Arabidopsis thaliana: one gene and its partners. The protein of the gene in region 2 interacts with the protein of the main gene of each other region in a biochemical or structural test. Each region holds a gene or a part of one and is shown on either strand. Other genes may lie near its edges.

Region 1 (7,849 bases), on a different chromosome or scaffold from region 2:
TGAAAACATGTAGACAATAATTGAAACCCAAATGTAAAAGGTCCAAATTTAAAGTTTTTGTGGTTTAAAGCATAAAATTGATTTTCAAACAATATTCATGTAAAAAATAATGTATAAAAAATAAAAACTAAATCATATTAATGAAATATTCTTATTGAAAGAGAAAAAAGCTGAAGAGAGTGCGTGAAGTATGGTTGTTGGGTTGAGTTGGCTTTTAGAAGCATTATTTGATCTTGAAGTTGAGTTTGTGTCTAGTATGGCTGAAGATAAGATGAAGAGTAAAAACTGTTTTTTCAAAATGAAAAGTGTTTGGTAGTATATATTTCTTGGAGAAAGAGATAGTCTACATAGAGCGTGAAGAACTTTTAGAAGAAGTTTCTTATTTCAGTCTTGTAAAGAAAAACAAGAAGAATGGTCTTCCATCTCGTTTATATGATTTATTTTTTATACGCTAAAAATATGATTGATCATGTGTTTTATTCAATTTTAAAAGCACATTAACATTAATCAATCATTAATAGATCTAATGTGCTTGATGTTTTAGTTGGTCTTATAAATTAATTTCACCGATAAATGAATTTTTTTTTCTCCGGCGAGATAAAACATTACATGGTGAGGCTTCAAGCTAAAGTTGGCTTCATTACATCTAACAATTTCGACATTTTTATGTACGAAACTTGTAGTTATATCAAGCTTAGTTTCTTTGAATTTTAACTATCGTTTCCAAGGCAAATCTCTCATATTTTTTAACCATAGAAAAATAATCTTTTATACTCTTTTTATTCTTTCAAACCAATTAATCTTTTTTCTATGAGGAGATTTTAGTTATTTGTGTGAATATAGTTATGAAAACATGTAGACAATAATTGAAACCTAAATGTGAAAGGTCCAAACTTAAACTTTTTTGTGGTTTAAAGCATAAAATTAATTTTCAAAAATATATATGTCAAAATGATGTATATAAAATAAAAACTAAATCATATTAATGAAATATTCCTTTGAAAGATAAAAAAGCTGAAGAGACGGCATGAAGTATGGCTATTGAGTTGAGTTGGCTTTAGAAGCACTGTTTGATCTTGAAGTTGAGTTTGCGTCTAGTATGGCCGAAGATAAGATGAAGAGTAAAAGTTGCTTTTTCTAAATGAAAAGCGCTCCTTGGAGAAAGAGATAGTCTACATGGAGCGTGAAGAACTTTTAGAAGAGGTTTCTTATTTCAGTCTTGTGTAGCAAAACAAGAAGAATGGTCTTCCTTCTCCTCAAGAAAGAACATGGAAGTCATTGAAGCATAAATGAGTCATTCTTCCATTGCCTTACTACAAACACAATGTTCCCCTCATCTACAATGGATGGGAAACTTGATTGGCAAGTCACTTCCTTTTGTATTAATGTAGGGTTCTTGGTGAGGGAAAATCGCTAATTCTTCAATTAGGTTTTTTTTCCCTTTTCTCACCTCTTCTTCTTTTTGGAAGAACATTATTCATGTCTCTGCTTCTCAACCATCCCCCGAAGCTCTGCTTTCGTATACCCTTGTTGGTAAGATCATCTCCTCTTCTCTCTAATGGCGTCTCATCGAAGATCCACTTTTTGTCATCATGTAAGTTGATTCTTGTGGAGCTGATCTCGGAAAACTCGTCATTAGGAGGGCTGGTGACATCACTCAGTTTTGACTAGTTTTGCTTACAAGTCACATATGAAATGACTAGTTTTGCTTGCAATCTAGAAATCCATTGAATTAATATTAAAAGCTAACTCTAATAACCAAAACACAGAGATTGAAGCAAATCTTTTTAATTGGATTAATAAATAAACTGAAAAACTTTACATTACCATAACATCAAGATGCAAAAGTTGTATCTACAGATAGACCGAGCGAAATCAAAAAGGACAAAAACCAAACTAAAAAGAAGAATTTTGCTTCACAAAAAAAGCTCAATAAAAAATAAAATGAGTTCAGAGATTTAGAAATGTAACAAATAAAGAACCATAACGAAAGAACAACCTTCAACAATACAATGATGTCTTGCCGCTGCTTGCTTTTGCTTTTGCTTTTTCAGGTATCTTCAACCTGAGAATGGAACACAAAGCTTGGAAACGTAGTCGTGATATCCCTGCAGAGCAAGCACACAACAGGATCACGACCTTTATTACATATCATGGAGAATAGAAGAAAGAGAAACCAGAGAAGGAATTTGGTTGAATAGATTCAATCCTGGTTATATAAATAGAAAGATTTGGAACTCACTTGAGATATTGAAGAGTCATGTTCTTCAGAAGGCTGGGATGTCTAAGAACAAGGCTTCTCCACTCTTCCTTATCGATCTTTCCATCGTGTTTTGTGTCTGCTTCCTCAAACGTCTGAAACATTCAAAACTCGGGAAATTACTTTCAAAGAAAAAATATAGGGTGAAGAGGAAAAAAAGTAAGTAACTTACCTTGTCGATTATATCCTCAATGACAGTATCCTTCAAATTCATTCCAGATTCAGCAAGCGTAGCGACAACCATTTGTTTCACCTGGACAAATGATGGACGAAAATGTCAGTGAGGATAATAAAGCGCACTTCTACAAGGTTATATATGAAGCTATTTGAAGATATGGAAGCTTTACCTCTTGCCGTTCGATAAACCCTTGCTGTTTAAGATCATATAGCTGAAATGAAACTGCAAAAAAATAGTATATATCATTAATGTGTTATCCCAATCTTGTTTTTGAGATACAAGCTAAAAGGGACGTACAGTGAATTTTGTCATCTATAGGCGCATTTGGGTGAAAGACGGAGAGAGCACGAGCAAATTCCTCAAACCCCAGTATTCCATTGTGCTTTGTATCAAACAAATCGAAAACCTAGAAACAAAATCACATATTTCAGCATTTCTTCTAAACTTGATCTTGACAAAAATGGGTTTAAGAACACTTATAATGTGAAGAAAGAAACATTACCCGATCTGCAAACAAACTCTCTTTTTTATTTGTCTTAAACAAAGCCAACTGAAACTCTTCCTGATACAAACAAGAGATGAGTAAATTAGACAGATTGTTAGATCAATCACTAAAGCTTTACCAAATGAGGAAGAAGATCAAACAAGTTAGAGTTATACCTTGTTTATTAGCCCATCATCAATCACGGCACTGCTGATTTTCTTAAAAAGCTCATAAAGAGCTTCTATTTCACTCACACTAACTGCATTCCAAAACCAAATTCAATCATCAATAGTCTTCAGAAGAAATATTTTTGCATTCCTCAAATGGTATTGCATCGAATCTTATAACCGGAAAAAAAAAAAAAAAAAAAGAGTAGAGAAGGTGATAGGGCATACAAACAGTGTCTCTTGCAAGCAATTCAGGATCTCCAAGGCCACCAGATTGTTTATACAAATCAAGATCAAAACACCCTAAAACAGAGGTGCATAAATGCTTGATACCGTCAACGCACTGCGACATGATATATCTTAAGCAGCAAATCAAAACTCTCCATGCCTGCATATAAAACATTGTGAACTTGTTTTGCTAATTTCAAAAAACAGCTCTACAGAAGCAAGCATATGAAGAACACTGTACCTTTCAACCATTTCCTAGTGTTTTTTGCTGAGAAAGGATGAGACTTTGCGAGAGTATCTGTAACACAAGTTGCAAAATTCAGAGTAATCTAAATAAGTCAGTCAATATAGGCAACACAAACATTGCTTAGAAACTGAAGTCATTATCATGATTTTACTATTCAGATGATTCAGTTATGTCCACATAATATATACAATATTGAAGAAGATAAGAAAATTAATGGAGAATCTAAAGACTTAATCAAAGCTCATTAACCAAATTTTAATCTTAAACATCACAATTTATGGACACACAAAATTAATAAAATCCATCAGAAACAAACCCAAATTGGGAAATTTGAATTTATACATTAATGAACTCAAGGATTACACAATCAATTACAGGTTCTGAGAAACAAAACCCGATCTAGATCCCCAAAAATCGTCCTAATGGATTCGTGAATCGCAGATTCAACAGAGATAGAAGAATCTTGATATGTAAGTGAACTCAAAATGAGTAGAATGGATTTGCGTATACGAAAATTTACCGATTACGTTGATTCTCAATCTCAAGTCGGCTCTGGTTGTTGAAGCTGAGCGAGGAAGACGGAGACGATTTGTTGTAAAGCAGAGGAGAGAGTTGGAAAACAAATTAAAACCTGAAGAATCTTTTTAAATATCTCAACAAACAACAAAAACTCAATCTTTTTGCATTATTACAAATTAAATCCTGAAAAATCTGCTCAAATCGTCGTCGTTTTATTCTTCAAAATACGGTTCGATTTGATTTTCGTTCCGGTTAAGTAAAACTCGAGCTGAATTGAACCGGACATAAATTTGAATTTCACATTCACCCATAGAATATATGATCTATTGTGCTATTGGAGAATTTAAGTTTTCAAAAAATCTTCAAATTAGTACATTTTTTACGATGTTAAATGCAAAATAATCATACAAAATCAAAGATAATATGTGATATAGCCATTTTTTTCTATTGTCAAATTTTAAATTTTTGACAAGTAACATATAAAATCGAACCTCCCGAAATGATAAGTTCAATTATATCTTCAGAAATTTTAAAAATAATGTGATCATCAAAACGTTTACAATATATATAAATTTGCAAAAATATATTATATTGCGTATTATTTCTGACTTCGTAAAATTATTTTATATTTTCTTTATATAAAATGTAGACAGAAAAATTCATTTCAAGTATTTTTGAAGCATATAAAATGTGTATGTAATAAATGCTTAAATTTGAATCAAATTGGTGAAAATTAGATAAAAGTTTACCTTGAATCGGGTTAAGCCGATTTCAAGCGGTTTAGTAATACAGACCAATGTCTTTTTCGATAAAAATTATTGAACAATGTCAAAAGAAGAAGTAGAAGAAACAAACAAATAACAAAACCGACAGTTATTATACCGAACAAATCCAGTAACCGGGTTTACTGAGCCTTGAGGGAGTCACTAAACCGGCTCGACTTGGACGACAATAAAACAGCGAGGTTCGACCCAATAGACCCGGCACGTGTCAACGAATCAACGCGGTGATACCTGCACCTGAAAGAACCGGCGTGTGTCGTCGGAGAACATAAACAATTTAGCCTCGTAGATTTACCGGAGGACGATCTCCAACGTTTTAAACTAGGTGAGTTATTGTCTTGGCTCTTCGATTCAACGGTAGAGCTACCGGAGGGTTTAGGGTTGATCTTGGCTAAACTTGTGGAATACTTTTCTTGTGCCTTAGGTTGTCCGAGATTTAGGGTTGAAGGGTTTTCTTTCGTCATGGTTTTGACGAACGTAAATAAGAATGAATTTGTGTTGTTGTTTCTTGCTAATGAATCAAAAGGTAATTTCTATAGTGACTTTTGTTATGAAGGTAAAGAATGATTTGTGTTGTTTCTTGCTAATGAATCCAAAAGGTCATTTATAATAGTGACTTGTGAGAGAAGGCAGCTAAAAATAGTCGTTGGATGTTGTTGACAAACTGCTTTTTTAAGTTATTGGTGGTTAGTATTCTAGAAAAGAGTTATTGTAAATTAGTAGAAAATATTTGACTTGGAGGTTTTATTCTTCTTTTTATGGTTTACACATTTTGTGCAAGGACAAATATTATGACTTTTCAACCAATTAGGAACATACTTAGTTGTGTTAGTGCCAATTGAGAATCTAGAACAGTCTAATTTAAAGATTCTGTAACCAAAAAAAAACATCTGATTGTTTTTGTTTGGTTTGTGCCTATTTTAGGTTTTGACAGACTCAAAGGCTTAAAATTCAAACTCTAAATTAAACACCCTAAGACTTACTTATATAGCTGAAGTCAAAACCATCTCAAAGACTCCAACTATTTAGATGCCATGTCCAAAACTTTTATACTTATGAGATATAGTTAATGCTATAAAAATATTTCTTTTAAGAAAACCGACATCCTAATTGATAGTTAATGAAGTAATGTTTGGGTTTTCAGTTTTAAATTGCAAAAAAAAAAATTGAACATATAAAAAAATATATACATCAAGATATGTAAATGAGACGAGAGAAAAAACAAAATATGTAGTATAAACACTATATTAAGATTCTATAAAGTTGTTGCCATTGTGATTTGCATCATCTACTCACAATGTACATAACGATTACTGGTGAGCTCTTTATGTACAAAAAATTTGACACTCACACAAGTAATCGACTTTGCTTCAATCCAAAACTAAAAAAAAAAAAAACTGAGAAAGAAAAAAATTATATTGAGCTTTTGTTGCTTTTAGGGTATTTGCTTTGTCATCTTGGAAGATCTTGTTTGCAGAGAGGACAACAAGAGATGATACGAAGCCATTGATCTACACACTTTGAGTGAAACTTATGTGAACATGGAAGCTTCCTTACTTCTTCTTTGTCTTTATACTTTGCCAAACATATACAACACTCCTGCAAAACCAAATCAAAACTCAAAATCTAAGTCCTTTTCAATCATAAACGAGACTAATAGACAACATTCGACATCAGATTCCCTTAGTGGATCAAAACAGAGCTATCACAGATTAAACCTTATGGTCCAAGAAAACTTGTGGATTTGGCTTGAATTGAGAGTAAAAGAATTAGGACTTACTGGATCATCAGTTACAGTAGCTGAATCTGAATCAGAATCAGAAGCACTATCGTCGATTCGTTTGAATTTCCAGCTAGGGAGACTAGAGATTTGGTCATCTGATGCTGCTCTGTCTGAGGATCCCATGTTCATGTTATATCCAAGGAGGCTACTTATGAGAGGAACAAGGCAACAGAGGAAGAGGAAGAGAAGAAAGGGAAAGGAATAGCAGATAGCGTTCCAAGCTAAAAGAGAGACGCAGAGAACGTGAAGCTTGGGAGCATGGTGGAAAGAACCAAACCTAGAATCGAACACCCAAACATTTCCAATCACAAACCAAATCGCAAAGAAAAGCTCTAGCGACGTTCTGCATTTGTTCATCAAGTGAGAGGACCTGCAAACATAGAGCAATATCAGGATCTTGTAAAGGTTTTGGATTCATAATCGACAAAAGATAAAGATTTTTGAGTGTTACCTAGTTTCTTCTCTGCCTCTCTGTTGCTGCTCAACATCGCCAAGGACAAACCCATTTCCTTGGTTAATGTCTAGTTGACGATACCGACCATATAACAGCATGAGATTCAAAAGACATCCCACATCGTATCCTGTGATCCATAGCCTCACTGGCCAAATTGGTCTCTCTTCTTTGGAGATAGCTAGAGTGAATGTTATCACAGTGAGCTGAACAAGTAGAGCAATGAGCTCAGACATCATCCAAGTGCTAGAATTGAAAGGATTAGACCCAAGGTCAGATCTTGAACCGTTCTGGTAGTGAAACACTCTTCTCAAGAAGATGAACCATCTAGCTCTAGATACCTTCATAGCCAGCCTTATATAAAACGAAGATGGAGACCTCTCTTGACCATTAGCAGCAGCAACATGACTGTTATCGCCTCGCGGTGAGGAGCTTAACAAAGCAGACGATGAAATAGTGATCGTGATATTACTAGAAGATAACTCCGGCTGATTGGAATAACGTGTATTCATCGGAAATTTTTGAATCCTTCAAGATTTTAGACCTTCACAGGACAAACAAACAAAAAAAGATTGCATAGAGAGAAGAATTAAATGAGATTCTGCAACAAAGGTTTATAAGTTATGAGCACACACACATGGAACCTTAACTATATACACGAAATGATCATGAAACACACATGAAAGAAAAAAAAGAATTAAAGTCATGAAATTTCCATGACCCAACAACAATAACAAAAGAATAACACAC
Region 2 (6,734 bases):
GCCCATTCAAACTGCAAAAAGGTTTTTTTTACGTTAGCAAAACATTCAAGAGCGAGGCCACAACTGGAGAACAAAAGAAGTAAAAACAGAATCTTTTGGCAAGGAATCTTTTGCTTTAGGGTAGCAAAAGGACCTGAAGGGCAGAGACATTGGTGGGGAAACCATAGATACAGAGAACCATTTCCCATGGACGTTTCTTCTTTGTTCTCCAAGCACCACTAGTGATCTCTCCATTGTGCTGCCTTATTCTCCGCCTCGGGTTTACAGTGAACCTACCAACCAAACCCAGTTTATGCAATCAATCACTAAACATCTCATAGTCTGATTATTAAACACTCAAAATCTCCTATTTGATCAAATTTAAGTATTCAATCAGATAAACCCAGAAAATGTAAATCCTTTCTCAATCGAATTTGATCCAACAGAATCTTCAATTCCAAAATCAGAGATGAGAGAAACAAGTACCCGATATAGGTTTGACCCTTATGACGAGGGCTAAGAGAGGTCAAGAGATAACAGGCGAAGAAGCCTTTTCCATCTTTTCCGGTGACTCCATCCTCACCGACGGGATCTAGGGCTTTCCGATTTCCCCTTTTCTCTCTCATATCTCTTGGATTCAATTCGACCGTTGAAGACGACAGATTATTACACTAAAAAATCCGTTTTATCTCTTAAGGATGAGAATGGGCCGAAATGTATGATTAAGGCCCACTGTATTCAATGACCCAATTTTATAATGGCCCAATTTTTTATAATTCATTTCCTATACTGTATTTTGTTTTACTTGGTTCACATGACATTGTTACCCATCATGATAGTGATACCGTGATAGGTCTCCTATTGATTTTAGAGCTTATAAAATTTGCTCACTTATGTCAAATTTTACCGCAACTAAAATTTCAGCTTTCAAATAATCTCTCCTCATATTATATCCTCTTTTTCTTTTTACTTTTCAGATACAATAAATGATGGTTTTCAATTTTGAGTTTGTCTCTAATAAAGAATTTATTCTTAACTTTGGTTTAGTAGAGTTTTTGGTTTTTATTTTAGCTATATAGTAAACTTTGATTTCAGAGAGTTTGGTACAATAATATTTTTATGAGGAAATCACCCAAGTGAATAAAGAGAGTTTAGATATAGTCAAGAATATTCAATAAGCATTCTACTTTCCTAATTCACACCAAACAACCTAATTTGCCAGAGTTTTTCCATTTGCACCTAAAACCAAAAGGTGGGCAGAAACTATGGTGAGATGATATTAATTAAAATTTTAAATTGGCCAAACAAATGATGAGAAGAATAACAAAAGGCTGGTGCTTATGATGATGCTTTAATAATGATAATGATTCCTTAACCTTCACTCGTTTTGAGTTGTAATATCCAATCAAGTAGACAATAATAGCTTTTCTTTTTATAAAGCTGCAGATTTCAATTTTTGAAGTTCCCTGATTCTATACATACTTTTTAATGCTTTTTCTTCACTGGATGTGGAACTCCCATTTCAATCATTTCATTTGTTCAATAATACATTACACAAAGTTTTTCTTTCAAAAATGCTTTCAATTCTATACATAAATATTAAAGTGAAGAAGCCATATTTGATAAGCAGAAAAATGTATAGAATTGAAAGCCTTTTTGAAAAAAAAAAAAATGTGTAATGTATGGATTTTTGAGAGTTTAGATGAGTTTATGCGATTTAGAGATTATTTTATTTTAGTAATTTATCTACTTTTTATTTTCAATTCATTGGTTATTAATCTGATTTGGTTATCATGCACTTTAACTTAATACAATTTGCATGGTTGATTTTAAAAAGTAGTTATGTACAAATGTGTAAAATTGGAAAATCCAAACTATAAATAGAAGAACATTTTCTACATTATACAAAAGAGTGAAGTATCTACAAATGCAATTTTAGACTTGTTGTTGTACATAGTAACACATTGATCAAAAAGCACAAAATAGATACCTACAATTTGGTACAGTATTTAAATACATACATTAATTTTTATTATTTTTTCTCTGTTTTTAATTCCGAAACAAAAGTAGTAGAAACCAAATCCAACCAACGAAACGCGATTGGCGTTTTAAAATTGAAAGCACGGTAGAAAACTTCATAGCGTTCTTTTAAATAGCCGCGTTTGTTGACGACGTCTGATCGCAAACGCGAATAAGTTGAACCCTGAGTTTACCATTCCACATCTCCTTATAACAATCACCATCACCACCTCTCCGCCGTGCCTCCACCACCACAAGCAAATCATTCAACCGCGAAATACAAATCCCGATACCAAATTTCCCATTTTGCCCCTCCATCTCAAACCCATACTCTTCCTCCTTCTTCTTCTTCATCCTCAGATTCTCCTCTCTCGCAAACCCCTCCACTTCCTCCGCCAACATCTCCGGCGACTTTTCCGATAAAAACCTCTCCGATTCACCACTCGAATTACTACAACCAGCAAACAATCCCGACAAATCCAATCCCGACGAGTAAGAAATCAAATCAAACGCGTTTAAACTCTTCACAGCTTCTAGTGACGATTCCACTTTCTGATCTTCGATCTCGTCATCGTGGAACTTGATCTGTTTAAAACCTCCTCTAACAAACCAAGGATCTTTCAAAATCTCATCAATGGTGATTCTAGTCTCAGGATTAATATCTAAAAGACGAGAAACGAATCGTTTCAGATCTGGAGACATCCAACGAGGAAAACGATACTCTCCTTTATAAATCTTCTTATACATATTCATCACATTCGGATCGTTAAACGGTAAATAACCGGCGACGAGAACGAACAAGACGATTCCACAAGACCATACATCAACTTTAGCACCTTCATATCCTTTTTTAGATAGAATCTCCGGCGCAACGTACGCCGGAGTACCACACAAGGTATGTAACAACCCATCGGGTCGGATCTGATCCGTTAACGCGCTTAGACCGAAATCGGAAACTTTTAAGTTTCCGTTTTCGTCTATTAATAGATTCTCTGGTTTGAGATCGCGGTGGTAAACACCGCGAGCGTGGCAATAACCAACGGCGGAGATCAGTTGCTGGAAATATCTCCGGCTTAAATCTTCGCTAAGACGTCCATGTTTTGAGATTTTGTTGAATAGTTCTCCTCCTTTAACAAACTCCATTGCGAAGAAGATCTTTGATTTTGTCGCCATTACTTCGTGGAGCTTGACGATGTTTGGATGAGATAATCTTCTCATGATTGAGATCTCGCGTTTGATGTTGTTGGCTAGAGCTGGATTTGTGAGGAGTTTTTTCTTGTTGAGGATTTTCACGGCGACGCTTTGGCCGGTACGACGATCACGTGCGTGGAAGACTTTGGCGAATGCGCCGCATCCGAGAAGCTTTCCGAGCTCATATTTACCGAATAAGGCGTCGTTGTTGTCGCCGCTGCCGGCGGCAATCTCGATCTCTGGCATGATTGATGAATCCAGAGATTGATTGATGAATAAGAAAACTTCGCCGGAGAATTTGAATCTGTTTCGTTTGCGCGTAATGCAGATGTGATGAACACGTAAGCTAATTCTTCTTCTCTTTTTTTTTTTTTGGTTTTGTTGTGAATTTACTTTTTATGGAATAAGAAATTTGAAAGAAAGTGGTTTAGGTATTTAAATGGTGGAGAAGTGATGGCGTAACGCGGAAGCTTTTAAAAAGATAAGTTCGATAGAATAATAATGGATTAAGGGTATAAAGGAATTAGAGTTGCCTAAAAAAGGAGTTTAACTGAAGCACTATTATATGTAACCGTTACAGAATTTGTTTGTTGTCAATTAAAAAAATAAAATGTTAAAGTTTTTTTAACCCAAATTTTATATATGTGAAGCAGTGAAGGTTTACTGTTATAATTAACTGACACAACTACCTGAGCACACAATCCATCTATTCAACACATGAAGCCAAATTTAGCCGATAATGTAATTGATAGTCTTCACATAAAGCAACTGTTCTTGAGTCGATGCATATGTATATCTAGTTCCTTAAATCATATAGTTTTTTCATTTTGTACAATCGATCTACAGACTACAGTGTACACCTAATTATTACGTGGTTTTTGTACTCACTCAATTATTATGTTGTCGATAGTTTCTACTTTATTTCCTCTGCCTACGTGTCATGATCTTATCACTTAACTTACTCTGATCATAACTCTTCTCGTACTTTTTACATCTAAAACTATTCAGAATCTTGTAGTATTATAGTTAGAAGAATGTACATCAATAAATAATTGTTTCGTATATCAGTTATTTGCGTGTCTCATCGTATATGGTTGTTTTTTTATTCAACTCTTAGGTAATGAAGAATTGAAGATAGCGACTTGGTTAGTAACTTATACTAACAAAACATGTTCCACGAGGTAATGGCAGGTGTCTCTCACACACGTGGCAATATCCGAACGGTGGAACAAGTCGACGCGGCGCCGGCTTCAAGCTGGACGGTTCTGGATCGTGGGCCGGCTGTTGAAAAATCGGTGCTGAGATATGTTTCTATTTTATTTTATTTTTTAATAATCGCTGATTGCAGACTAATTATTTCTCTATTGTTTGATCTGATTGACTAATTATTTATCAGTTATAGACTAATAGCCAGGAAATAATAACCTTTGCTCGCGTCGGTAATTTGATTATTTTTCTAACATAGAATAAGAAAGAACTTTGCACCAAAAAAAAAAAAAGGAATAAAGAACATGGGCCGTACCATATTCACATCCTGATTAAACTTTCGTCTTTACATAAAAAACCTTTCAATAAGAAAGAAGAATCAGTCAGTCAATGACTGCGACTTTAAAGAAAAAAAATGACCGCGAGTCTGCGACTTTAAATCCTTCAAACTTTTATATATGGGCTATGTGTGAGTGGTGTAAGGTGTATTTGGATACGTAATACGTTATACGTTAGCATATGTTTTCTTGAATATTATCAGTGTGTACGAATAGATTAAATTGAACGAGCTGAGACTACAGAATTTAAATGAAATCAACGAGTCCCGCAGACAGATGTTAATAGTTTACTTATATGTATATGCTAAGAGTAATGTTATTGGGCTTTTGGTTTATTTATGTTAGTCCATATGTTTATGAGCCTAAACCTATGTGATACTTATTAGAAAGCGAGTACGTTTTTTTATTTTTTGTTCATTATAAGCAAGTACGTTGAAGAAGAAGACAAGAAATATGTTTCCTTTTGACACCAAATGTTGATATTATTCATGAATTATGTCACCATATACGAAATCATATGCTAAGAACGTCATATCGTCTATACGAGCATCATCAATCAATTTATCAGCAAAAGTTTCACGTTGAGGTTGTCCTAGCAACATGTCAATGTATAATAAATATTTGGAGTAGAGGCAAGATATAACTACGAACATGCATATAATTCATATATATAATGTATATATGTGAGTATATATATTATAAAAGATCATGGCATGTACAACTTGTTGCCGCACTTGCATCTCCAAGCTTCCGGGTAGTATTCGGCGGTGACAGGCGTGCCGGGAGGCACCGGAACGTGAACAGGCTTGCACGGAGTGCATCTTCCACACTTGGAGGAGCACCGTGGTGGAGATGAGCCCAATCCCCTTAGAATCCTCCGTAGCTCTGCCTCCTTGCTCCGGTCACCGATCTTCCTAGTCTTCTTTATCACTACGGTACTCTTGCCTTCCTCCTGAACACATACTCAAAACGTACATATTATCACATTTTTCATTACTAAATATATATTCAAACGTATACATATCCTAATTTATTATTTTCTTCATTAGGATAATACATCTAGTAAAACAAACCAAACAATATGGTTAATCAAGAATAATTAGTATTTTCTAATTAACGTTCAATAATTAGTATCTTCTAGTGAACTCAATTTCAGCTGCTATCAACATAAGATAGTGAGAGGACTGCGTTACTAACGTGCGATTTCATGCTGACATACGCATATTATTGTTAAAATGCGCAGTTTAGGTAAAAAACATTTTTAAGACAGGGTTGGGGATGTGAGACAAGACGCGGGAAAACCGCTCCGGAAAAAGCGCTACGCACATTACCAAAAAGGGCAGAGAGATTGAGAAGTTCCAAGAGCCTGTCATACGTTAACGTGCACCGTGGGGGCTAATATTACCACTCGATCGAGATCGTAAGCAAGGCAGGGTCCCACGAGTGGTGAACGAACCAAAAGTTGAGTACTGTCCTTGTCCTCGTGTGCGCTGAAACCAATCCGACGGCTGAGAATTTCTTTAGGAGTACATGGCATCTCTGCATGCCCAGTCAGTCTCGACATGCCGTCACAGTCGCTGACTGTTCAAGCGCAGTTTAGCCACAACCCTTTTGTTTGTGTAGTCCTTTTAGAGAACCCCGCATTATAAGCTTATATTATTTATGGAAAAAAAAAAAAAAGCTTATATTATTTTTAAAGTGTGTTTAATGATGAATCAACATCAATCTTGTCCTCCAAAGATGCTTGAATCAGGAGAAAATAGAAACTAAGCTTTTTTTGGATTTTATGTGGTTATAGTTATGCCAAAAAAAAGGAAGTTAACACGGTTTTTGATTCCTATTTCCTAACTAATTGTTGACTCAACAGCAAAAAAACAAAAACAATTGTTACTTGTTAGATCACGCAAGAGAGTAAGAGGTATAAACAGTTTACGAACCTTTGCATAGAAGTTCCCTAGTGTCCCAGAGTTAGAATTCCTATTATCTGCATTTTTACAACAA
Region 3 (7,253 bases), on a different chromosome or scaffold from region 2:
CCTGGTATGGGTCCCATTGGTGTGAAGAATCATTTGGCACCATTTCTTCCTTCTCACCCCGTGGTTAGTCTTTTATCCTTCATCACTTTTATGTTTCTTGGTGATTGATGATTAATTCCTTAATTTTTTGTTTCTTCCATTTCCATGTATACAGATACCGACTGGTGGTATCCCACAACCCGAGAAGACAGCACCTTTGGGTGCAATATCCGCTGCACCATGGGGATCTGCGCTTATCTTGCCTATATCTTATACTTACATTGCCATGATGGGATCTGGTGGGCTCACTGATGCCTCTAAGATTGCAATTTTGAATGCCAATTACATGGCAAAGCGCCTAGAGGTAGTAGAACATCTTTGTCTTCTATTTACCTATTCATCTTTTGAGAATGAAAGGAGTCTAATTTTCCTCTTGATTTGTTTTTACAGAAACACTACCCAGTTCTTTTCCGTGGTGTTAACGGAACAGTAGCACACGAATTCATCATAGACTTGAGAGGCTTCAAGGTATGAAAATGTTGTGAACTGAAATTAAAGTAGTTGTTTTGGGTATGCATATCACTGACCGATTCAAATATGAATTTGTAGAACACTGCTGGAATAGAACCAGAGGATGTGGCGAAACGGCTAATGGACTATGGATTCCATGGACCCACAATGTCTTGGCCTGTCCCTGGAACTCTTATGATTGAGCCAACCGAGAGTGAAAGCAAGGTAAATATGGATATATGCAGATCTCTCATTGACTCTTTCTTCTCTCAGTGTATCAACTTGATGAAACTAAATAATATTCGTTTGCAGGCGGAGCTAGACAGGTTCTGCGATGCTCTCATTTCAATCAGGGAAGAAATTGCACAGATTGAAAAAGGAAATGCAGATGTCCAGAACAACGTTCTCAAGGTAATTAGGAAAACAAAGACTTATCATAATTATATCCAATAATAATATTGTTCGGAGAAGTTGAGATTCATACGTTGGTGGTTGTTTGTTTTCTCAGGGAGCTCCACATCCCCCATCGTTGCTAATGGCAGACACATGGAAAAAGCCGTATTCTCGAGAGTATGCTGCTTTCCCTGCGCCTTGGCTCCGCTCCTCCAAGTTCTGGCCCACCACAGGTATTAGACCATCCAAGATATAGATTGCACATTTGGTTTTCGATTCAGTTTATTCTGGTTTCGGAATTCTGATATGTGACAAATGATTGAAATGTGGAACAGGGCGTGTGGACAATGTATATGGAGACAGGAAACTGGTGTGCACTCTCCTCCCAGAGGAAGAACAAGTCGCAGCTGCAGTGTCTGCTTGATTACTGCTCTGTCCCATTGTGTTGTGTCCCTTTCTCTCACCACGCACTCTTCTCTTTCACATTCTGTCCATAGTGTTCTCATTATACGCTTTCTGTCTCTTACTCTATTATTTCATTCGAATACATCTTCTATAAATTATATATTCCACAATTGACCGAAAACAAAACACAAACTTTGGTAGAATCAAGACTTAAATCAACTATACTGCCATAGACGCAAGATGAAAAGAAAAATGCTTCATTACTTTCAATGGAACAATTACAGTAAAGTCATCAAAACAAAGCAAAGTGCTTGACAATTTTACTTACAGCTAATAATCATCAACTACGTTGGCTTAAAATAAAATAAGGAAAACCTTCTTTCCTCGTTCTGCTCTTGCGCTATGACAATCTCACTCGAATTACAGGACCAAGCAGAAAAAAGATGACCGGTGTTGCATGGACAGTTGTGCCTCAGTCTTCAACCTCAGTGTTGAATATAAAACTTGGGAATGCTGTCGTCACATCCCTTCAAATTCAAATACAGATATGGTTGATGATAAAGTAAAGGAAATCCTAAATGGAAGGGCTAATCTAAAAAAGAGAGAGGATTTGGTACTTTAGGTAAGGAAGAGTCATATTCTTCAACAAGCTAGGATGTTTATGCACATAGACATTCCATTCATCCTTACTAATTTTACCGTCTTTGTCAGAATCTGCATCAGCAAATGTCTAGCAAAAACAAAGTAGAGAAAGAAAAGAAGCATGTGCTAACTAAATTTACCAAAATATTATACATCACACTAAGAGAGATGGGATTTCAAGAACTCACTTTATCAATAATCATGGTCAGAAGTTCATCGGATAGCATCATATCAGATTCCAAGAGAATAGCAGAAACCATTTGTTGCACCTAACAAGTCCAACTTATTATGAAGCTGAAAAGAAGGGTTGCAACTTGCAATGGCAGATTATTATTTACCTCTTCTCGCTCAATGAATCCAGTTTGTCTTAGATCATAGAGCCTAAATGCAACTGTCACAGATAATAAAAGCATATGCTTGAGATCATCCAAGGAGTTATATTAGTAGTAATATTGATCCTTACAATCGGTCTTCTCCTGGATTGATGCATAGGGATGAAAGACACTGAGTGCATGGATGAATTCCTCAAACTCAATAACCCCATTCTTCTTTTCATCGAACAAATCAAAAACCTGCAAAACACCAATCAATATAAAGTAAAAAAAACTTTCATCTCAACAAGTCCAAGAAACCATGAGAAGCCACTCACCCTATCAAGAAAGAGGTTCTCACCATATGGAGCTTGGAACAGCGCCAGTCTAAGCTCTTCCTAGGAAACCAGAAATATCAAATTTCTTCATAACCATAAATTATAATGAGAGATAACTATCATCTAAAAAGAGCAAACTTAATGCCTTGAAAGCAATGAATCACACACATAAAGGAAAAGGAGTCAAGTGATGATCATCAACCTATGAAAAATTCACCAACTAGACATATCTGAGAGAGAAAAAACAGACCTTGTGAATCAAGCCGTCATCAATAATTGAACAGCTCAATTTCTTGAATAGCTCATACAAAGCTTCAACTTCATTGACTGAAACTGCAAAAAAGAAACAAACTTTTCAAACTTATCAACTTCCAAACAGAGTCATTTCGAAGACGCATTGATCCAAGAACGTATACAACACATTGGACATGAAATGAAAGAGAGAGAGAGAGAGAGAGGCAAAAACAAAAAGAAAACCAACATTGAGATTCACGAGCAAGACGTTCCAGATCCGCGTGCTGACATGTCCGAGGCGATGTGCTGCGGCAATCGAAGCATTGTCCGACGGAGGAAACTAGGACATCGATAATGGCAAAGAAAGGTATAAAGACGGCGCAGAATTGCTCTCCGACAGTGAGAGAGCTTGATCTCTGTTTCACCAAAACAAAACAAGAACAAGAACATTACAAAAAGACAAAATCAGAGAAGAAATGAGAAATCAAAGTAGTGAGAAAAATTTACAGAGGAAACTTGTTCCATGAGTTCATTCAAAATCACAATCACAGTCTTCCGGACTAAGTGGCAACTTTGATTCTGCTTCACTTATTATTTTTTCAGTTTATCAAAATGTCACGCTAATATATCCGTCATTTGAACCATTCTCTAAAATCAAATGAATGTACCGTCCTTGGTGGTCCCCATTTGATTTTTTTTTTTTTTTTAAACAAAATAATATATTATGGAATGGCTAAACTGGTAAACATATATATTGGTGAAGAAGAAAAAAAAGAACAAGAATAAATATAGAGCTTTTTAGTTTTTATTGGCTAAAATATTATTTTCTACGTATATGTATTTTCAAAATTACATTCAACTTAGAAATAAAACAATAGACAATGTTATATTTTCAGATTAATATTTGTCACTATCCTATCATTGAATGTAATTTTGAAAATACATATACAGTAGAAATTTTCAATGCTAAAATATTATTTGGTCGGCCAGTTGTCATGGATCAACTTAGTCGATGACGATCATGTCTTATCAAACTCTATAGTTGAAGAGCTAATTGATTAATTTTAGCAACTTTAGCCATTCCAATATTTCCATACACAAAGTGGATTAGACGACGCAAAAGATTAAGGATCTTTTTTTTTTTGCGGTTTGCACGATGCTAATAAGAGTGGGTGTGCTACACTCTGCAATTCCTCTGTTTCTGAAACATCTTTTCCAGAGTGAACACAAAAGAAGAAACCAAAAAGCTCTTTATTGCACGTGTTTTCTTCTCAACAAAACTCATAATCTTTCTTTTTAATTGGGTTGCCTGAATTTTCAGCCATATACTAGTTGGAATCTCAACTTTCCACCCTAAACTTTTAGCCACTTGAAAAACCTCCATAAACAATTTTAATCTCGATAAAACTACATGTACTTTCGGATTTATTCTTAAAACTACGCCTCCAATTGAACCGACCAGTTAACCGATAATTATACATCCGATTTGATTTACCCCTAATTTAACCGAAACTAATCTGATTTTGACTCTATTTTAGCCTAATTTTGACCCACACAAAATGTAAATAAATTGTCTTATTAAGAAGTAAAAGTATTTTTATTAATTTGTATTTGTGATAAACAATTAAAAATATTAAATTATTACTTAATTTTAGCAAAACTTAATATGACAAAATATACCCCAAATTATATTTTGAGCTACATTTTGTTATAAAATTTTGATAATATACAAACATATACATTTTCCTTTTGGCAATCATTTATATTTTTTTATAAATTTAAAGCTATGTCTTTTTTTAAACAAAAATATTCATTTTTCTTGAAATCATAATATATGACCTTTGAACTCTATATATGTAATAAAATTCAAAATATATGCCAAATTTATTTTTATAGATATCCATAAACACCACAATCAAAGTATATCTTATGGTATTTATAAATTTATTTTTCTTTATAGATTCAGTTTTCTTTTTATATATTCAAGATGAGTTATATATGTATATATATATATATATATTTATATATGATTATGGTGTTTTTAAAAAGAAAATGGCTTTTGAATTATTAAATTTAGAGTATATACCAAATACATTTATATATATAACACCATTGTATTTATAAAAAGAATTTGTTGTCTATTTTGTTATATTATTTTGCGGTATATTTTGTTATTTTATTATTTTGGTAAAATTAATTAATTTATTTTTAATTTTTTATCAAAAATAAATAAAAATAAATAAAAAGTATTTTTCTTCTAGAGAATATATTTTTTGGGTATAAATTGGGTTAAAATAGAGTCAAAATCGGATTAGTTTTGGATAAATTATGGGTAAGTCAAACCGGATGTATAATTATCGGTTAACTGGTCGGTTCAATTGGAGGCGTAGTTTTAAGAACAAATCCGAAAGTACATGTAGTTTTATCGAGATTAAAATTGTTTATGGTGGTTTTTCAAGTGGCTAAAAATTTAGGGTGGAATGTTAGTATAGGGCTGAAAATTCAGGCGACCCTTTTTAATTTAAATAGAGATATCCTTTCTCTAGTTTTTGACAAGCAAAGCTGCATCTCTGTGTATACTAAAGGAAAATCTAACTAAGAGAACACATTCCTCCTACTTAAACAATGAAATAGAAATTCTAACTAAGTTAGAAACCAACAAATTAAAAGAATATGTATCCGTCTGGTCATGGCTCCGAGGCAAGTTTCCAAATCTTAACCATTTTATCGTCGCTGGCCGAGGCAAGCAACCGGCTTTCCTTCTGCAATGCAAATCTCGATTTCAGAATCTTTAGCAAGAGATGATTCGCCGTATATGCTAAAACTAGTTTAAACAAGAAAATCAAGCTTTCAATTTTTTTTATGAACCAAACTCAGTACCAACATACGAGTAAGATTACCCTGCATTTGTTTACATATTTAGCCAATTACTCCTTAGGAAAGGAAATGAACTTACATCAGGTGCCCATTGGACCGAATTTACATCCATTTCATGTGCTTTCTCCTTCTTAACCAAAAGTTTGTATGAAGGTCCATCAACCTGACACAATGATGACCAGCTTTTCAATTTGGCTGTACACAAGGTATATTGTATGTAATGAAAAATCACTGGCTAGAGTCTAAAGCAAACGAAAAATTCAATCAAGAAACCATGAGCTTTGGTTTCTTGTGTTGTGCTACAATGATGACACAGAGCATATGCCAAGAAGTAAACCGGACAAGATATGGTTAATGATATTTTCTAAATGATACTAAAAGAGGGATTTGTGATTATAGGTAAAAGGGACAAGGGCATACAGAGTCACTGTCGCTGTCCACAAATAACTGTATAGTATCATCGCCTGCTCCACTAGCAATAACACCGTCCCTATCAAGGTATCAGATCTTATCATAAACTTATGTCGATCTATCCAGTAGGACACATAGAAGACAATTAATATTGGTCAGCAAAGCTTATTACTAATTTAGCTTTATTTGATCAATGAACTAGATTAAAAAAGTGCATTTATCAGGTGTAAGAAATCATCTTCTTGGTTGGCATGGGAATATAGTAGGACTTTACAATTGTTTCTTTCAAATCCCTCAAAAGTGACAACAAGTCTATACCTTGACCAATGAACTGAATATATGGTACGATCGTGAAAACCAGAGAGTGTACAAACATGAGTCCTGCAAAAATCAAGCACGTAAATATTTCATTAGCTACAAGTTAGAACATGAAATCCCTAGCAAATGAAGAATATTCAACCGCATGTATCTTATGTCAAACTTATAGACCATACAATAACAAAAAATACATCTTCAAAAGAGGAAAGATGTATATGCTAAACTCTATGAAGTGATAATTGAATGCCATTATATCCTCACCAGGGTACATATCCTTCACCAGATTGCATCCTTGAAATATCTGTCTTCCATATTTTCACTGCTAGATCATCACTGCAAAGTTCAGACAATCCAAATGTTAACAGACCAGGTAACAGAGATGAAATCTCCTATCCGAAACAATGGGGAGAAGATTCACCAACCTACAAGTGACCATCTTGTCCCCTGCAGCATTAAAAGAGATACTCCAGACGGTAGAAGAATGACCACTGAGTGAAGATTAAAGGCAACATATATTACTAAACGCATAAAAGAAATATCAAGAAAACAATAGCATCAAGGTAGGAAAATTTCAACATGTGAGAAGTAAAGAAGAGACAAATAGAGGATATACTTGTTAAGTTCACTTAAGGTTTGTACACAATTATAATCACCATCTTCATCCTCAGAGCACCAAATCTGTTAATAGAAACACAAGCATTGCAGTTAAATGCTTATGCATAGATATGACACCAATTCATGAAAGCACATTTGAAGCATTGTTCTCTTAACCTTGATAGTGTTATCATAACTGCAAGAGAACAAAACATCCATGGTGGGATGCCACAAGACCATC

Evidence for each region. The genes of interacting proteins can lie anywhere in the genome.
Region 1: of the proteins of SIP4 (region 2) and CBL2, one has a biochemical effect on the other in vitro, tested with the Arabidopsis thaliana proteins (2 studies listed by BioGRID).
Region 3: of the proteins of SIP4 (region 2) and CBL10, one has a biochemical effect on the other in vitro, tested with the Arabidopsis thaliana proteins (one study listed by BioGRID).

Annotation. Positions count from the first base shown.
Region 1 is NC_003076.8:22,667,781-22,675,629, reverse strand, and holds CBL2 (calcineurin B-like protein 2), read right to left. Parts: upstream 4,518-7,849; 5' UTR 4,085-4,517; intron 3,616-4,084; 5' UTR 3,559-3,615; intron 3,478-3,558; 5' UTR 3,442-3,477; coding exon 3,318-3,441; intron 3,182-3,317; coding exon 3,099-3,181; intron 3,001-3,098; coding exon 2,941-3,000; intron 2,845-2,940; coding exon 2,736-2,844; intron 2,661-2,735; coding exon 2,608-2,660; intron 2,514-2,607; coding exon 2,433-2,513; intron 2,356-2,432; coding exon 2,243-2,355; intron 2,109-2,242; coding exon 2,051-2,108; 3' UTR 2,000-2,050; exon of another isoform or gene 1,775-1,999; intron 1,717-1,774; 3' UTR 1,530-1,716; downstream 1-1,529. Other genes in the region: AT5G55980 (serine-rich protein-like protein), read right to left, coding at 4,988-5,329; AT5G55970 (RING/U-box superfamily protein), read right to left, coding at 6,318-6,464, 6,646-7,018, 7,100-7,611. UniProt on the Arabidopsis thaliana protein: Acts as a calcium sensor. CBL proteins interact with CIPK serine-threonine protein kinases. Binding of a CBL protein to the regulatory NAF domain of a CIPK protein lead to the activation of the kinase in a calcium-dependent manner.
Region 2 is NC_003071.7:12,935,138-12,941,871, forward strand, and holds SIP4 (SOS3-interacting protein 4), read right to left. Parts: upstream 3,698-6,734; 5' UTR 3,436-3,697; coding exon 2,128-3,435; 3' UTR 1,842-2,127; downstream 1-1,841. Other genes in the region: AT2G30350 (Excinuclease ABC, C subunit, N-terminal), read right to left, coding at 1-11, 134-272, 466-605; CHAL (allergen-like protein), read right to left, coding at 5,440-5,685, 6,139-6,314, 6,625-6,717.
Region 3 is NC_003075.7:15,920,905-15,928,157, reverse strand, and holds CBL10 (calcineurin B-like protein 10), read right to left. Parts: upstream 3,810-7,253; coding exon 3,762-3,809; intron 3,440-3,761; exon of another isoform or gene 3,338-3,439; coding exon of another isoform or gene 3,320-3,337; intron 3,229-3,319; coding exon 3,060-3,228; intron 2,912-3,059; coding exon 2,829-2,911; intron 2,639-2,828; coding exon 2,579-2,638; intron 2,502-2,578; coding exon 2,393-2,501; coding exon of another isoform or gene 2,370-2,392; exon of another isoform or gene 2,321-2,369; coding exon 2,268-2,320; intron 2,199-2,267; coding exon 2,118-2,198; coding exon of another isoform or gene 2,106-2,117; exon of another isoform or gene 2,018-2,105; coding exon 1,905-2,017; exon of another isoform or gene 1,815-1,904; coding exon 1,760-1,814; 3' UTR 1,530-1,759; downstream 1-1,529. Other genes in the region: GLDP1 (glycine decarboxylase P-protein 1), read left to right, coding at 1-63, 155-343, 430-507, 589-714, 802-900, 998-1,115, 1,218-1,306; AT4G32990 (Transducin/WD40 repeat-like superfamily protein), read right to left, coding at 5,500-5,574, 5,769-5,852, 6,110-6,179, 6,419-6,481, 6,680-6,751, 6,841-6,906, 7,032-7,096, 7,190-7,253. UniProt on the Arabidopsis thaliana protein: Acts as a calcium sensor. CBL proteins interact with CIPK serine-threonine protein kinases. Binding of a CBL protein to the regulatory NAF domain of a CIPK protein lead to the activation of the kinase in a calcium-dependent manner.